Linked DNA regions of Caenorhabditis elegans. The protein of the gene in region 1 interacts with the protein of each later gene in a pairwise test. Each region holds a gene or a part of one and is shown in the gene's direction. Other genes may lie near its edges.

Region 1 (5,034 bases):
ATTTACGCGTTCATCGTGTGGTGCAATGATCGAATTCAATGTGTCCAAGCGCATCTGTGAAACCGATGCCGCAATTGATCGGAGTGCTGAAAATTAAACAATATTAGTGATAATTAGACACTGCTCTAAACGAAATATAAATTTTGCTTGCATGTTGATAAACAGTTCCGCTTGCCATTAAACATCAGTTTCTCTAATAAAATTTATGTTCAAAATTTAGAAATGCTTACTCTCTGATTTCCACTTGAAGTATGCTTCAAACTTGTGGTGAACTTGAGATCTCGCCAATTTGCAGTAGTACAGTTCGTTTACGAAGTTGCTATTCTCAGGTTCTGGTTTTTCCGTCTTACTGAGAGACGATGAAGCGGAGCAATGAGAGCTCTCCGATGAGCATGACGACACTGACGATTCTTGTTTTCTTCTTGACATGATTCTCGTCTCACGACGAGCTGGAGATCTACTCTCCACATCGAGATTGTCTTTTTTGATGTGAGACTTGATAATCGTTAGGCCAGAAAATTGGCGGGACAAAGATCGGAGAATGGGGGTCTCGACTAGTTCCTTTGCTTCGTTCTCGTTTTCATAGAACACCTCGTCGTTTTCATTTTTAGCATTCTCCTGCTCGTCAAAATTTTCTTGAACATCTGCCTTTTCTTCTTCTTCTTCATTTTGGCTCTGTTTCAGAAAAGACTCCTTCCTGAACACAGGACCATCGCACACATCTTCTCCTTGCTCTTCTTTTTCGGTCTCATCAACAGTCTCATCGTCAGTTCCGCCACTTTCAAACTTCTGCACCAATCTGCTCACTTTTCGGAGGCTATTTAAAGTTTCATCATGAAAGGCTGACTTCTTTTTATCTTTGTTCGGGGTAAACATGATATCCTCCATCGCTTGCCTATAGATTCCAGCGTTGGAGTAGGAGAAGTCATTGCAACACGACATTGTTGTACTGAAATTTAAAAAAAATTATAGGTATTGTATAACCAGTTGAAAAATTGAGAACGTTAAAAAAATGTGGAACAAAAGAGTAAGATTGAAAAAAAAAAGTCCAAACAGTTGTTTTCGAGACGGAGAATAATTGAGAGTGTAAACAGAAGACCATTCGTTCAAATACAAAATGAAGAAAACGAGGAATTAGATATTTTTACACTTATTTATATCGATCGATATTGCTAACGCGACATTAGACTCTCATCCCACTCCTTTCCCGACTCTTCAACCCATAAATCGTCAGAGGAAAACAACATGTAGCAATGGGAACATTGACACCCTTCCAAGTTTGGCAGATAATCTTTGTTGACTGCAAAACTAATAACTAAAAACTGCAGCTTAACAGTGAAATCAGAAAAAATTGCACCATTTAATTTTGTTCTGTTGTTTCTACAGGCTTCTTCAAAAAAGTGACTGTCCACTATCTTCAGATTTAATTGAAAAAAAGCATAATTCAAATTTGGTTACTATATAACGCAACTTTGCTTCTGAGAAAAAAACAATAAAAAATGCATTAACTTGTAAGATTGAGAACACAAAAAAAAACGATTAGGCAACATTAAGAGCAAGAAAGAGGAGAACAATGGGCGAATAATCCAATATGTGGGAAACGGCATCTGTTGCAACTCATATCGTGACTGAATATCGGCTGACCTTCCCATCTCACCGCACAGTTGCGCTCATTACGCAACGAACGCTTGCACACAAAAAAGTATTCGATTGACTCGCCCAAACTGCGCACATCATTTACAACCACTTGCGTTGCGTGCACCGATACTGTCTGTCAACCACAATTTGTCTTTATTCTTGACAACGTTACGTTTTTACCCCACCTCTCGCTAATGTGTCCGTCTCATCAACATTTTATCTCCAATACGTTTCCTGTCATTTATCATTAATTCTGGTTTATTGTAGACATGAGTGAGGCGTCAAAATCGATTATGGATCTGCTGTCAGAAGTTGTCAAAATTACCGACATGACTATGGATAATGAAGCTGTCAATAAATTGTGAGTTAGATTTTTGCTTATGTGCTGCCATAAATCGAAGTTTTCAAAAAAAAAAATCAACAATCGTTATGTGATGGTTTGCGCTTGTTTTTTCTGATATTCCTATAATAAAAATTCTCAATATTGTTTCATGGGCGTGTTGATGATATAAGTATTCAAATCAAAATTATTAATAAGTTTCAAAATTTTGGTCAATGTTTATAGATGTTGATAACAAATGTTCATTCATACTTAAAATACTTTGATTAGTTTACGACTCAAGAAAAAATAATGACAAGATATGCTTTTAAGCAAAGTTTCGTAAAACATCAAATGTTTAATTTTTTTGATCAGCTTTTGTAGGCAATAGCCTGTCTCTAATTTCTTTATTTGAACAGTACCGCTCCTTAAAACATTGCTCTAGTTCAACTATCATCACAAACTTCTTGAAAACTATTTTTTGGAAAAACTTTCTTAAGCAAACTCTCCGCTGGAGTGCTTATGTTTTTCTTTCAACTTCAGTATTTATCATAATATTGTTTTGGTAACTATACATTTATGGAGAAGTTGCGATAAGATGAAAACCAACACTAGAGATTACTATCAAGATACAAAAAAGAAAAGAGGATATTCACTTCCTCCTGAAAATAAAAAATAAAAAATTGTCAAAAGTATTTATGAATTTTTCAGAAAACCACAAATCAAGATCAATCCATTCTACCGAGCCGTACAAGATGTTCTAGTTGAGCAGAAGTCCAAAATCGACCTATCGACAAAGATGATGAAGGATCTTGAAGCACAAGAGAATGATGAACGGCTGGATACCATGCTCAAAGCAGAAGGAGTTGCTGGACCCGATGATAGTTTGTTGCGTATTCAGGAAGCTGCTGGAACTGACCAATACGAGTATCGTCAACAACTTTTGAAAGTGAGACGAGAGCTTGAAAATGAGACAAAAGCGTTTGACAAGGTAAGATCGTCTCATATATCACCAACCAATATACAAATTTCAGCACTGCAAAAAGTGGTGTGAGTACGTTGAAGATGTTCTCCAGCAACAAGGAGAATTCCGTCCAATCACCCAACAGGTAAGCCATAAATCTACCGGTGAAAAGATTAAACCAATTTTTCAGTCAACCGAAAAGTTTATGAACAAGATGTCCGGTAAATTTAACAAGGTCTGTTTTGTACTAAAACAGACTGCCTGCGAAGAAGTTATCCAACTGAAAAAGCGTTATCTGGATGCTCGTCGAAAGAGAAGAAATTTCTCGAAAACTTCCACCGAGATTCTCAACGAGTACTTCCTAGCAAACATCAATCATCCATACCCGTCGGAAGAGGTCAAACAGGCCTTAGCTATGCAATGTAACATTAGTGTTGCTCAGGTAAAATTGAAAATACAAAATTACATACTAAAAAATATGCATAAAAAACTTTTGAAGAATATTACGATTTGCATGAAGATAATATTGATAAGGCCTAAATTAAAAGCTCGCTAAAATGCGCCATCATCACCATTTGCGTCAGCTGTCTCCTATTAATATTTGCGCGGGAGTTTTGAATAGGAAATGTTGAAACGGTGTTCAGAATTAACGAATGCTTTAGTAGTTTCTAGAAAATGGGAAGTAAGGTTTTCTAAAAGAAACGCAAAACTAGTTCATTATTCTTTGGAATATAATTGTGGTTACATAAAATAATCGCTGTTCTATAGACACGAACCTAAAAATTATGCAACTTTTTTAAAAACTATTTTTGTCACTGTCAATATTGTCAGTGTTTCTTAACACTCTATCACTCTATTTGAAAAAATTTAGTCCCAGATATCTGCATACAATCTTACAGTAGTTTACAGTTTATTTTCAGGTATCAAACTGGTTTGGAAATAAGCGAATTCGCTACAAGAAAACAATGGCTAAGAATGAGGATGAAAGAAGAGAAAACAGAAAACCAGAAGATCGCCCTCCGCCTGGAGCTCCTGGAGCTCCGTATAGTCTGGTACCCAACGCGTTTGCAGGAATGATGAACCCATATCAGATGATGTTACCTGGTCATCAATTTCCCATCGGTGTTGCCCCTTTCAATTTTTCCATGTACAATCCTGAGATGGTAAGTTTTCATTTCAAATACTGTGAACTTGCAAAAATAGAGCAATATATGTAGTTTGTTTCAAAACCCGGATTTTTGTTAAACTTGAAAAAAAACTCGTTCTTGGATACATCAAATTCTGGAAACGATGTACTCCAAGTTGCGAGCAGCTGGAAAAGTTGAGAAACTAGGTTTTTTCTTACTGCCAGATTTTGAAATCATGCATATTCCGAAAAAAACAGTTTTCTCATTTTCAGATGGCCCAATATCAACAGTCTCTACAAAACCCAAATCAAACTCGATGACAAACTTTAATAATGCTGGTACTGAGTACTCATTCATACATTTGCCATGATGTTATAAAGTAATAAATTCATTGAAATACATCCTGTGTTCCATAAGATGTATTACTTTTTTAAGAAATTTATTTGATACTGACCAATGTTTTTGGCTGCAAAATGCAACATCACAATTTTTAGACAAGGGCTTACAATATAAATGAGGTAACAAGAACAACATAACTATTCACAGAACAGGAGATTTTCCTGAAGCGTTTTTAAAAATGTTGAGAAAGTGGTGATATTGAAAAAAAAGTTGAAATTAATTAAGTTTTTAAGAACTCAGGCCAGTTATATCCATAACAAGTAGTAGTATGAAATTTTGGTGGAACTGCGAAAATAACATGCTGAAATTGGAAACTAATGTAAAATTATATTATCTAGCGGTTAGAAACAAAATGGTGAAATGAAAATCTATGACAACCATGAAGTGGAGAGGTATTGAAAATGATCCGAAGTATAGGGAATTGATTTGGTCTGATATGATCCTATTTAAACATTTCCACATTTTGCTGAATACTTTGATATTTTGATTACTGCCTACGTGGTCCATTGGGCACAAGAACTCCGGGAGGAACATCAACTGTTCGCTCGGTCCAAAAACGATCTTCGGAATATTCGATCATCGCGTAA
Region 2 (4,570 bases), about 11 Mb from region 1:
TCAACTCATCTCGGTCACCCAAATGTGGGAGCAACCGCCGAATACTTCAATTGAATAGTTTTTATTTTGTATTTTTTATTTTTGATTTTTTTTCAATTTGTAATATGAACAGTTTTTTGGAGTACAGCAGAAGCTCGCTCTGAAAAAAAATTTAAAAATTAGAAATTGGTATTTTGAATTCAGCGTGCCAAGATTATTTAAATTCGAGTTGCTTATAAACTTTATATTTTTTTGAAGTTTCTGAAATACAGTGCAGAAGGCTTATTTGTAGGTACAGAAGTGCCTGCCTGCCTTTTTCAGTAATTTTTATTTTGGAAAATCTTTTAAAATCTTCAAAATCTTCCAGAATGTTTACCTTGTTTCAAAGATCCTGAAAAACATTAAATATGTGCAAAAAAACCACTTGTTCCAAAAGTTTTTCATGAATTTATTTAAAGGTGCCTAAGAATTATCATCGAAAAAAATACGCTCGCAAATTTTTCTCATAATTAACATTTGATCTACCTTTGGAACTTGACTCCGCCGCTAAATTTGTTGCCGTTGTTATTTCGTTGTGGCTGTCTTAACGAAGAGAAAGGAAGAGCCTAGTGAACAAGGTAGATCAAAAATAAATTATGAGAAAAATTTGAACTTTTTGAAAAAAGAAAAAAGCAAAATTTTATCGTATTTTTTCGATAATAGTTAACATTCTGAAAGCCTTTGAAAATTAAAAAAAAGTTTTCACAATCTTCAGCCGCTTTCATCTTCTGAACATAAAAAAAAAACCATAAAAAATCTGCAAAAAGTCATTCTTGGAGCAATGTTACAGACTTTGAAAATGGTGAAAAACTGAGGAATTAGGTAAACGTTTAGGGTCGAACTTCTCATAGTTCAAAGACTTCGTGTACAGTTAATTTTTTTTCTTAACGTGCCGGATAGTTCTCACGGTAGCACAGAAACTAGATGGATTGGTTCATGATACTCAGTCTGGAAACCTATATTGGCTACTATCTCGAAAACCATCACAAAATCGATTTTGCGATGCATATAAGAAATGACCGCAATGAAATTATCTATCTTTATTTGTGATGAATTTTCGATTTTGTACTTCCTGGCCAAGTTATGCACGTTTGTTCGGTGGAGCGCGTTTGCACCCATTTAGCAACTGAACCACCGTGTTCTATTAGGCAGGTGAGCCCGGAATACATACAGAGTTCTGAAGTCAGACCGCTAATTATAATTAACAAGAACAGGTGAAAATGCAAGTACATCCTATAAAGCATGAAAACTATAACAAAAGCTGAGAATTACTTCCTTAGTTTTTGACGATTTTTAGCGAATCTGACAAAATAATATTACAAAAAGGGCCCCCTTCCGATCCAGTGGTTCCAAGTGCCCCCCCCCCCTCCTCCCCAAAAAGGCCATGACGTGACATCTCTAAAAGTGCATATCTTGCGGTTGACTAAACAAAACCCAAGATAAGAAAATTAATTACGCTCTCATTCACAGAGACGTCCATTTAACTGCCTATGAATCATCTTTTCCAGGGCACCGAGATTTTCTTCATTAGCTGAGATTTCCTTTCGGTTCATTATATTGAATTTATTCATCTGATTTGAATTTTCAGTCGGCGTCGTTTCGCCAAAAAATTAGCTAACGAGGTAAAGCAGCTGCTCTGGCCGCGTGCGATTTTCAGGTAAGTTCTTTCAAATTTCAGAAATTTTATCGGATTTTGTTCGCACAACTGGTTTTTGTAAAAAAGTTTTACATATCGATTTTCTTTGGTATCCTTTTGTTGTACATTGTCTACCAATCTGATAGTGAGTAGGTTGAATAAATTTAAAAATAAATTTTAAAGTAATACCTTCAAAAAATTCTTCAAAAAGTTTTATTTATAACTTTGCATATTATGTATGATTTAAATGAATTTTTTCCAATTAAAAAAGTTATATAATCTTAAACTTAGGCTTAGGCTTAGGCTAAGGCTCAGTCTAAAGCTCAGGCTTGGGCTTAAGCGTAGGTTTAGGCTTAGGCTAAAGCCTAGGTCTTGACTTAGGCTTATGCTTTGGCTAAGGCTTTGGCTTAGGCTTAGGCTTAAGCTTGGGCTTAGGCTCAGGCTTAGGCTAGGTTCCCTCCGTTTGTTCTCTGACTAAATTTTTTCCAAAATATTCCAAGTAAACCGGCAATTGTGAGCCAATGAAATTTATTAAAATTGAAGGCACATTTCAATTGTTGTCTCTAAAAAATGAGACTGTAAGGATAGCGTATGGTATATATATCTCACCCACATGGTGTTCTAAGGGCCTTTCGTTTTTATTAGATAATATAATTTTATAAATTGAACATTTTGAGCTTACACGTAAACAACATGAATATTATTAAAAATCTGCAAACATTAGTTTTTGGAGAACTTTTACTTGCCTCAAAAATAGTTGTTAGAAAACCTAAAGTTTCATATTTAATTATTGCCAATCAACAGTGTCAGTATGCAGTTAGAATTAATTTCAAGTCGAATATTTTTTTTGATTTGTCATGTTTTGTCATGTTTCCCTCCAAATGTTGCTCTTTTTCGAAATGTCAATTTCTATCCCCTTCTGCATCTTGCTTTTTTCAATAAATTTCCTTTTTTTCTAGTTCATGATTTGTATGTAAGTTTTTATAGTTTGTTTTTCACTTTGTTTCTGATATATGTAAAGCATGACTATTTGTTACCGGTTTAGATTTATGGAATTTAATTGAACAAATAATAAAAAATTAGGTGAAAAAAGAAAGAAGTATTTTTAGTTGGAATATATTACACTTTGAAAAAATCTAAAAGTTATAAATAGTTGCGGGCTCGAAAAAAAAATTAAGTAATTGAAATTAGGTTCGAAACTAAGGTTACGCATAAAAAACTATAAATTTCACATCTAAAAGGTTTGAAAAATTTACTTCGAAAAAATGTGGAACCTTTTTTTTCCAAATAAATATTCTACTTTTGTCTGAAAACTAAAACTTCAACTTTCTACAAAATTATAATTTGGCTTCTGAAAAAAACTAAACTTTACAGCCTGAAAACTCAAAAGAAACTGCTTTTTTTTTAAATTTAAAAAAAAAAAAGCTTTTCGCCGAATAAAAACTTAAATTTTCTAAAACTTTTCATCACATTTCTGATTTGAAATTATTTTTTCCAAAAAACATGGCAGTTATCTGGTAATTTACGTTTGAAAAGTCTGAAAATGTTTTAACTGAAAAAATTATAGTTTTATATTTTCACTTTAATAAATTTCTAAATAACCGAAAAACTAAAATTCGTAGGTTGGCAAATCCGCGAAAAATTAAAAAGGCACTATATTTCGAATTTTCACGTTTATCACAGAAAAAAAATGTGCAAAGTGTATCAATATTTAAGCAATTCAAATGTTCCGAAAATTTTCATCACTTTTCTGGTTCCGACCTGGTACTGACCGGATATGAAGTATTTTTGGAAATTTTTTCGTTTTTGTCATTTGGAAGTGATCCGCAAAATGATTTAATTCAAACGATGTATCCCGGCAGCAACAGCTCAAAACCTTAGAAATTTCAGATTTTTAAATATGTAGATTTCTTAAAGAGCTAAAATAGTAATCTTCAGTACTAGAGAATTCCTCGAACAAATCCCAAAAAAAATTTAATGAAAAAATGTCAATTGCAATGTAGAACCTCCTAAAGCTATTCCATTATTTTTTTGGAAACATGGGGGGAGAGAGCAAGTGAGAGAAGACGGGGGGAGCACATTCATGCACAAACACACACTCGCACTTGGTTGTTCCTTACCCCCTCACTGTTTCATTTTCTTAAGCCTACATATATACTCTGCGTCTCCCAGCTCTCCCCCAACCGAAGCAGCAGCAGCATCGCCGGGCACCCTATGGCCGTGGACTAGTTCCCCCCATTTCCCGCTTCATATCTCTGCTCGCCCTCTTCCTTCTGTGTGCTCTCTCGGATCCTTACGCAGTAACTGACCATATGGTCAAGTGGTTGGCGGGTGTGCAGTGCTAGTACGATTGTCTTGTCTATTGATTCTTTTTTTTGTCATTCGGAGCTTGGCTGGAATTTTCTGGTTTTTAGGTTTTCAATAACAGCGTTTTATTCTTATGAATTTAAAATTTGCAGTTTTTTCTTTGAATACAACTTTGAAGTTTTCAATTTCACATATATATATATACAATAACTAAAATTATATTTAATTGAGAAAAAATTAAATTTGCTTATTTTTTAATTTACAATATTTCCTGAAAATTGAACTATATACCTATTCCAGTTGAAAAAAAAGCGTAAAATAATATTTTCTTTTTAAAAAAATTCAAACTTTGAAAAATTTATTATAGAGCATTATATTTTGAGTAACAGTATGTAATAATTATTTATAATTTGGTAGCCTGTTAAAACTGATAAAATAAAATAACTTTTAAAAAACCTACTCGAAAAAACATGAAATAATTTTTCCCATTTTTTTTCTACCATTTTGTGGTATTTTTTTCTCGAATTCAATATTGCTGCATCCGTTCCTGTTCAGTTTTTGTTCAATTAATCACACCAAAGCCAATAAATGGGCGGAGTCTAATGAGAT
Region 3 (4,155 bases), on another chromosome or scaffold:
TGGGAAAAAAAAATTCAGAACAACTAATCAGTGATTGTAAACCTTATCACCTGTATATCCATTGACGCCAACTAACAATTGTGGAGGTTATAAATCCGCCACGATGTTTATCGACCACCTGATTTAGAGGTACCCCCCGTAAAAACACCGACTCGGAGAGTTTTGGGAAGAGTAAAGTTTTACAGCTTTTTTTTTGGTGTTTTGGAGATCAGTCTTATTTTCTAGGAAAATGGGGCTAATGGGGTCGGAGAAATTTGGGTTCAGATAACAATTTGGGAAACGATTATCTCGAAAAGCTTCGAGTTTACCGAATAGTTGCCAACTGACAAAATATAGCTCTGGAAATTATGAACAATCAGTTAGTTGACAAATTTTTGATAGCTGCATCCACAAAAAAGTTAGACCCCGGAAAAAAATTGAGTTTTTTTTTGAAAGTTGACATCTTTTTGATAGCTTTTGGGAAGACGAATATATCAAAATTATCCTGACTTATAGACTTAAAAGGTTTGCTCAAAAATTGCTCAGAAATTTTAATGGATCTGCAAAATTTGGAGAGTTTTTCCTAATATTTTTGAGCAATGTTTTAGAACATTCGTTATGAAATTCGAATTTTTAATATCACTTTATGTCTAAAAATGCAAAATAATTTTGATCCGTTAACCAATGTTTTCTTTTATCCATTTTCCTTCAGCTACCAATTTTTACACCTCCAGTCAATACTGTCGGTGTTCTATCAAAAGAGCCCACTACAACTAACCGGCTCAAAAATTTTACAACGTATGCTCTTTTGGAGGTAACCGACAAAAAAGGGGTATACTTGGAAATGGTATATTATCTGGAAATAGAAGGAGGGTTTGAAGATGGAATAATGGGTAATTGTGGAAGGTATGAAAATGTAAAATGGTAAAATCTTTATTTTGAAACATTAAATAAAGTTATTTTTTTCAAATTTCGGTTTTTATATGGTACAAAAAAATTCAGTTTACATTAATTTTTACTGTCATTCTTTCTTGAGAAAAGTGATCTCAAAGTAAAAATATACAAAATCCATACTGTCGATAAGCATGGTATACATAGCATAATTCTTTAATTAATAAGGAAGTTGTATCATCTTTAAATTTTGAACATTTTTTGAAGTTTACATAAAACCAACATTTTCGGACCGTCTTCTCTATTTCTATGCCACATCAGAATTTGATCTCCCAATTTTGTTTTGAAAGTATACCCAACTCTTTTGATCTACCAGTCAGCCGCCAAGTCTTCCCAGAATCGATAGCCGAGAGGGCCACGCGCACAACCTGCCCGCCCTTGCAGAGGGGTGTGGTTTGGCAATGAGGTGAGATGGGGTGAAGATGTGCACAATTTCTCACTTCTTTGTCTTAAATCACCATTTTTTTGTGATGACATCTCTATCTTATCGTGTTTCTTATTTTTCTATTTTTTTGTTTTCTTATTTTTGAACGGCGGGGATATCTCAGACGTTATCTCAAAACTGGCAAGAGATACCAAATAGTTGTCAACTAACAAAATATTGCAAATTTTATCATTGTTGCTTTGTTAGTTAACAACTTTTTGCTAGATACCACCGTTTTTAAGTTAGAATAGTTTTCCCGCTCCTCCTTCTCACTGGTACCACACTCTAAGCAAGTGTAGCTGCCAAACCGGTGAGAATATAACATTATATCTTATACCATTTTCCAACTTTTTTTTTGCTGTTCGTTTTCATAATATATTTTAACGTTTTCAGACAAAAAATGTCCAAAGTCAAAGTATCAATCGAAGGATCCCAAGAAACTCTCTGGAAGATATTCCACGCAGAAGTCAACGAGATGATTGTCACGAAGAACGGCCGAAAGTTGTTCCCAAAGTTGGAATATATAGTCGAAGGGCTTGATGAAAACAAGCTGTATGCAATAATGCTCCAATTACAACCAGTTGGAGAAAGTCGATTCAAGTTCAGCGGTGGAAAGTGGCAGGAAACGGGCAAAGCTGAGAAGCAGGTCGACGCGAAGAAGATGTGGCATGCTGATGGAGTTCGGAAGGGAAGGTGAGTGTGACATAGGAATTGGAAGATTAGAAGCTATGAAGATTTGTAAACTGACATGATTATCAAAATAGTGAGAACCATTTTGTCAATTGGCAACTTTTTTTAGCTCCGCCCTGGTATTACAACTTCAAAGCGCCATATCTCAGCGGGCTTGGAAGTTTTAAAAAAGATGTTAACTGGAAAATTGTTAACTGATTTATCATCTACAATTTGCCAGTTGACAACTTTTTTCTAGCTTGAGCCATTGAAGAGTTAGAGCTGCCGACACTGGCATTCAAATGCCTTTGGAATATTTTGAGGGTTACATCTCATCTAACATTAAAGTTTTCAAAGTTTGTCGTTTGTCAACTGACAACATAATTCAGATGAAAATAATTCTAAATTTGCTAAATTTATATCTTCAAAGTAACCCCAATTAATTTCAGTGACTGGATGTGGAGTTCGATTTGCTTTGATCGTGTGAAAATCTCCAACTATTCAGAGTCCAACAACGCTTCAATGGTAGGATTTCAACTTTAAAATTACTTGGCAATTTCCAATTTAAAATTGAAATTTCAGATTTACCTCAACAGCATGCACAAGTACATTCCAGTGCTGACAATCTACGAGTCTCCATCGGAGAGCCCTTTCTGCGTCCCACAATCCTCAAACCAAATCGTCGCCACCGCCAAATTCCCTCATACCGAGTTTATTGCAGTAACGGCTTACCAGGTTAGTATTGAGAGTAAGAGTATTAGCGCATGGATCTTATCTCGGAAGAATCAATATTTTGTGAACAATGGGAAATCTGGGAAGGAAGGGGGAAGTCTTGTCAACCATCATACTTATCAAGAAGTCGTTAACTAATAATTTGTAACCCTAGTTGTAAAGATTAATTAGTTAGTTGACAAGTTTTTAATAGAGTTAAAAGAAGGAGAGTTACACTTGCTCAAAATTTGGCTCTATTTATAAATTTGAAACTGCGCTACTTTAAGCACTCCTACCTCGCCAATAAAAAGAGCTATATAAAAGTTGTCAACTACAAAAATATTGCTCGCTTTGTGATCCATAATATGGTGTTTAACAATTTCTTAATAGATTCTTTGTTTTCAAAGATAGAGAGAGTTGAATAATAAACCTAATTTTTCCTCATTTCAGAACCAAAAAATCACCGACTTGAAAATCAAGCACAACAGTTTTGCCAAAGGTTTCCGTGACGGGAACTTGAGTCGCAAGAGAAGATCACCATCATATTCCGACGGCAGCAACTCACAGTCCCCATCGCCAAAATCCAGATCACCACCGGAGGTCGCACCTCTTCAGTCGATGCCTCCAATCAACCCATTTCTTTTTTATTTTCCCCATATGTTATCTGAAAATCTTCCAGTCCAATTTCCATTCGCTTTTCCATTTCTCTCGCCTCTCCCGTCGACTCCTTCCAGCTCGAGCAGTGAGCTGAGCATTGTGAAGGAGGAGGATCAGGAGGTAGAAGAAGATATTGATATTGTTGGTTGATAATTTTTATGCAAACTGGTCGCTTTTGATATCATGTAATCAAAATTTTTAATATATAAATATATAAAGCTTTATATTTTCAAAGAAACGACTTTTTGAAGACCCGCCGATTAAATTAGAAGTTTGTCGACTGAAAAAGGCAGCCTAGACTGCTAGCCAACAATTTTTATACCTACAATACTTAAAAATGTATTGTTTAAAGGAACACGTAGTTTTCTGAGTGGGTCTTGCCACGATCACAGTCATAGTGGTCGCTGCAGAACCCACATTTTTAGATTTGCTTATTTGATGTTGAAATGGAAAATTTTCAAGACATTACGAGAACACACAATTCTGAGGATGCGTATTGCGCAACATATTTGACGCGCAAAATATCTCGTAGCGAAAACTACAGTAATTCTTTAGAAGACTACTGTAGTCAAGGGTTCGACTTTTTGAATTGATGTTCAATTGATGTTCAATATTTTCCTCCTTTTCTTCTAGTCTGATTCATTTCAAAAATCGAGCTCGTAAATCGACACAAGCGCTACAGTAGTCTTTTGAAGAATTACTGTAGTTTTCGCTACGAGATATTTTGCGGTCAAATATGTTGCGCATTCTCATTAATTTTGTGT
Region 4 (3,413 bases), on another chromosome or scaffold:
CTCTTACCGTTGCTCGTAACTTCCCATTTGTTTGTTCAAAATGAAGAATTTCAATTCAGCATAACAGTCATCTTGTTTCTTTCTTCGAATCTTTTCACGTTCAGTCTTCACTTTTCTTCTTTCGGATTCAGTATCAAACTTCCGTCTTGTAGATTCGGAGAGGTCATTCGATGAGAAATTAGATTCCAGATTAACTCCAGTCACAAGTTTCACAATTCGGAAGAGAACTACTTCTTGTCTAAAAAATGAATTAGTTTAATAACTATTTTAAGCTAACAGAGTATTTAAACTTACGATATATGTTCTTCTTCTGATTTTTGAACAATCGTCTTGCATTCGTTAATCAACTCGTTTGTAATATTTCTTCTTTTCCGTTCAGAAGCTGATTTTGGAGTTTGATTGTATGGGACGGAACGATAATCGCTCATTGAAGACTGAATAACTTTTGGCATCTGAAATTTAATAATTTTCATTAATTTAAAATCAATAAGAAATGTAGAATTTATAAAAATTCAAGATGAGCCGTTAAAAAGGAATAATTGTGACAAAACAGATAAATGGGACCAAGAAAGCAGCACAAATTGATTTAGTTTAGTGAGATAACTCGTACTGTTTTTCTAGAAGTATACAGTTCACTGAATGCTTTAAAAGTAATTGATCAAAATCAGTACACTTTCCTGATGTTACAATTATCAAAAAGTATACTAAACCAGCAGACCAGTGATCCACTAAGAAAGTAAATGAACAATGAATAAATGGTTACCTTTTATAGTTCCATTATTGTTCAGAGGGTGGAGCTTTGTATCAAGCGTTTGGAGCCATGGGAATTATTCTGAAATCTCTATTTTTACAGTCCCCATCACGGGTTCCCATGGTTCATCAGTGAGGTTCTCATGAGAACGAGTCAGGACATCTCCAGTTTTGCCACGACTGGATATTGATTGGGTACAGCCTGGGAAATTTCGGCGGAGACTGTGAATTGACATTAACCATTTTTATCACTCATTTAATCAGCTTGCCTAATCATTATTTGTCTTTAATTCGCAAAGTTTCCAATATTCAAGATCTGATTCTAATAAAAATTACCAGATTGATGTATATGATAATGCATAGAACATACAACTACCAAATTTTACGGATTCATTCAGTTTATCACTCAAATATGGCAGTTTTTCATTTTCTGAAAATAATAAGCCAGTTTAATTTTAACATATAACCTTACTGATTTTGAGAACTCCGGTTTGCTGGAAATGCTCACACAGCAACAGAAAAAATTCACACCGGATACATGTAGGTGCCAAGTTATAAGAAAAGTGTCACACGCTGAGATGGAAACCTCGTAAATTAAAAATAAATTGAGATTTTTTTAAACTTGGATATTGTTTTTTAAAACATTTCTAGAACAGCTTGATATAAATATTTTAAACTATCATGTAAAGGAAAAATACTATAACCTAATTCATGTATTTGATTATTTGAGTTAATTAATATGCATTTTTATTTTAAATATTCTAAATTCTTCTTTTGTATTATATATTTACATTTTTAAATTCCATCGAGCTCCGATTTTACCAAATATTCATTTCAGGATTATTTTTTCCCACCAATCAATAACTTCGTTCAGGTTGTGACCCTTCGCATTGCTTGGGTTCTCAGGCTGCCACGGCAAGAACTGGAGATGTGGTACTCGATGCACCATGAGAACCACGCGTAATAAAGGTATGGATATCAGATTCCCATGATATTCCAAACGATGAGAATCCCCGCCTATTGAAGAAAAAACTCGAACATATAATGGAAGGTAGTCATTATGTTTTTGCATACTTGAACTGTAAGGTTGGTTCTTTTCAACGTTTTCATAAGTCTTTAATTTGAACTGCCTTTCATATTTTGTAGTCTCCCTATTACGGTTTTTGTCTAATAATCTTTTGTTAACTATTATTATTATATTTCAGATCCTTGACTCATAATGTCTTCCTCTCCAACTTCGTCATCATCTGGGTCCCCTTCTTCACATGGACATCGATCTGAAACAGAAAAACAAAGAAGAGATGATACTAATGATCTGTTGAATGAATTCAAGAAAATCGTTCAAAAATCGGAATCTGAAAAACTTTCGTAAGTTTTCTACTATTTTATTTAAAAAAAAAAAACGTACTCTCAACTAATGTCTATTCAGAAAAGAAGAGGTTCTATTTCGTATTGTGAAATTGTTATCTGGTATTCAACTTCATCACGAATCGTTTTCAACATCGCCTGGACCAATTAGAAGTATTAAAAAGATTAAAAGCGATCGGGAACAAGTTCGCCGAAATAAGAGAGTTGCCGCGTACAGAGAGCTCAGAAAATTTATTGCATTGAATAATTTGAGTAGCTCAGAAGAAATGTAGGTTTTAGATTTTATTGGCCATAAATTAAAAAACACGTATTTTTCAGAGACAAAATGGAGAATTTGAAGGTTCTAGAAATCATCTTTGAAGTGATTCGTGGAAAGTCGATCACATGTACAGTACCTTGCCTACCATTTCCAATACTTCCTTTTCTCCCAGTATTCCCAGTTTATTCGCCATTAGTTTTCAATTCATACAATCAATTTTCACTTTATCCTCCTCACATGCCTACAGTTCAGATTCCTATTGTCCCAAGTTCCAGCTTCGAAATTGACGCTCTGGAAATAGAAGAAAATGAGAAAGATATCGATATTGTTGGCTGAAGAGATTCAGCTGAAAATCGTATTGGTCTCCAATTTTTTTCAACAGTTTTCAACATTATTTAGACATCTTTTGCATCCCGATTCATTGAAAATTAATAAATTTAAAAAAGTAACATCAAGATAATAAATTCAAGTTTAACACACAGCAATATTGAGATTTTCAGCACAGTGTGCATGATAATTTGAACAGATGCGTAGCAATTGGAGAAAAATTATAGAACTGAATTGCGTTCTTACCAGGACTGTGCGGCAACCGAGATTTAAAGAAATTTCGGCAACCGGCAATTGCCAAAGTTGCCGAACGCTGAAAACTTCGGCAGCCAGCAACTTCCGGTTGCCGGAACTTCGGAAACTTTTCGGCAACCAGGTTTCAAAGTTTTTTTTGTCGAAATTAAATTTTTGAGCGTTTTGGAAAAATGTATGGTCGTTTTTTTCGTTTACAGTGAAATTCTAGCTTTTTCAGGCTCTCTGCATGTTTTTTTTTGAGTTACAAAATGTTTGACGTTGATATGGACAGTTGCCAAAGTGCCGAAAAAAGTTCGGCAACCGGCAACTTGGTTTACGAACCCTGAAAAATAAAGAAACTGTGAAAGAAAATTCAAAAAATGTCAGCACAACTATTAAAAATAAACACTTGGAACACGTGTTCAATTTCTTTGAATTGAAAATATAAAAACCATTTAATAAGAAAAATTAGTTT

The links.
Region 2: the proteins of ceh-40 (region 1) and inso-1 interact in a two-hybrid assay, tested with the Caenorhabditis elegans proteins (one large-scale study listed by BioGRID).
Region 3: the proteins of ceh-40 (region 1) and tbx-9 interact in a two-hybrid assay, tested with the Caenorhabditis elegans proteins (one large-scale study listed by BioGRID).
Region 4: the proteins of ceh-40 (region 1) and hlh-26 interact in a two-hybrid assay, tested with the Caenorhabditis elegans proteins (one large-scale study listed by BioGRID).

Annotation. Positions count from the first base shown.
Region 1 is NC_003284.9:12,317,574-12,322,607, reverse strand, and holds ceh-40 (Homeobox protein ceh-40), read left to right. Parts: upstream 1-1,830; 5' UTR 1,831-1,907; coding exon 1,908-1,999; intron 2,000-2,668; coding exon 2,669-2,948; intron 2,949-2,991; coding exon 2,992-3,066; intron 3,067-3,111; coding exon 3,112-3,363; intron 3,364-3,841; coding exon 3,842-4,084; intron 4,085-4,320; coding exon 4,321-4,368; 3' UTR 4,369-4,482; downstream 4,483-5,034. Other genes in the region: F17A2.13 (uncharacterized protein), read right to left, coding at 1-86, 231-942; xtr-2 (MX region of TRA-2 Related), read right to left, coding at 4,935-5,034. UniProt on the Caenorhabditis elegans protein: Plays a role in regulating gene expression in dopaminergic neurons, acting redundantly with homeobox protein ceh-20 in head neurons.
Region 2 is NC_003284.9:1,298,601-1,303,170, forward strand, and holds the start of inso-1 (BTB domain-containing protein), read left to right. Parts: upstream 1-1,548; 5' UTR 1,549-1,675; intron 1,676-4,570. Other genes in the region: dop-4 (Dopamine receptor 4), read left to right, coding at 1-58.
Region 3 is NC_003281.10:10,339,451-10,343,605, reverse strand, and holds tbx-9 (T-box transcription factor tbx-9), read left to right. Parts: upstream 1-1,747; 5' UTR 1,748-1,754; coding exon 1,755-2,047; intron 2,048-2,472; coding exon 2,473-2,548; intron 2,549-2,605; coding exon 2,606-2,758; intron 2,759-3,184; coding exon 3,185-3,541; 3' UTR 3,542-3,600; downstream 3,601-4,155. UniProt on the Caenorhabditis elegans protein: Transcription factor. Involved in the control of early morphogenesis of the intestine, hypodermis and body-wall muscle. Involved in regulating expression of vab-7. Appears to have partially redundant function to tbx-8.
Region 4 is NC_003280.10:5,532,279-5,535,691, reverse strand, and holds hlh-26 (Helix-loop-helix protein 26), read left to right. Parts: upstream 1-1,949; 5' UTR 1,950-1,969; coding exon 1,970-2,118; intron 2,119-2,179; coding exon 2,180-2,386; intron 2,387-2,436; coding exon 2,437-2,713; 3' UTR 2,714-2,853; downstream 2,854-3,413. Other genes in the region: hlh-25 (Helix-loop-helix protein 25), read right to left, coding at 8-238, 295-452. UniProt on the Caenorhabditis elegans protein: As a homodimer binds DNA via the E-box sequence 5'-CACGTG-3'. Represses lag-2 transcription during embryogenesis via Notch signaling, in an unc-37-dependent manner. Also represses tbx-37 independent of Notch signaling.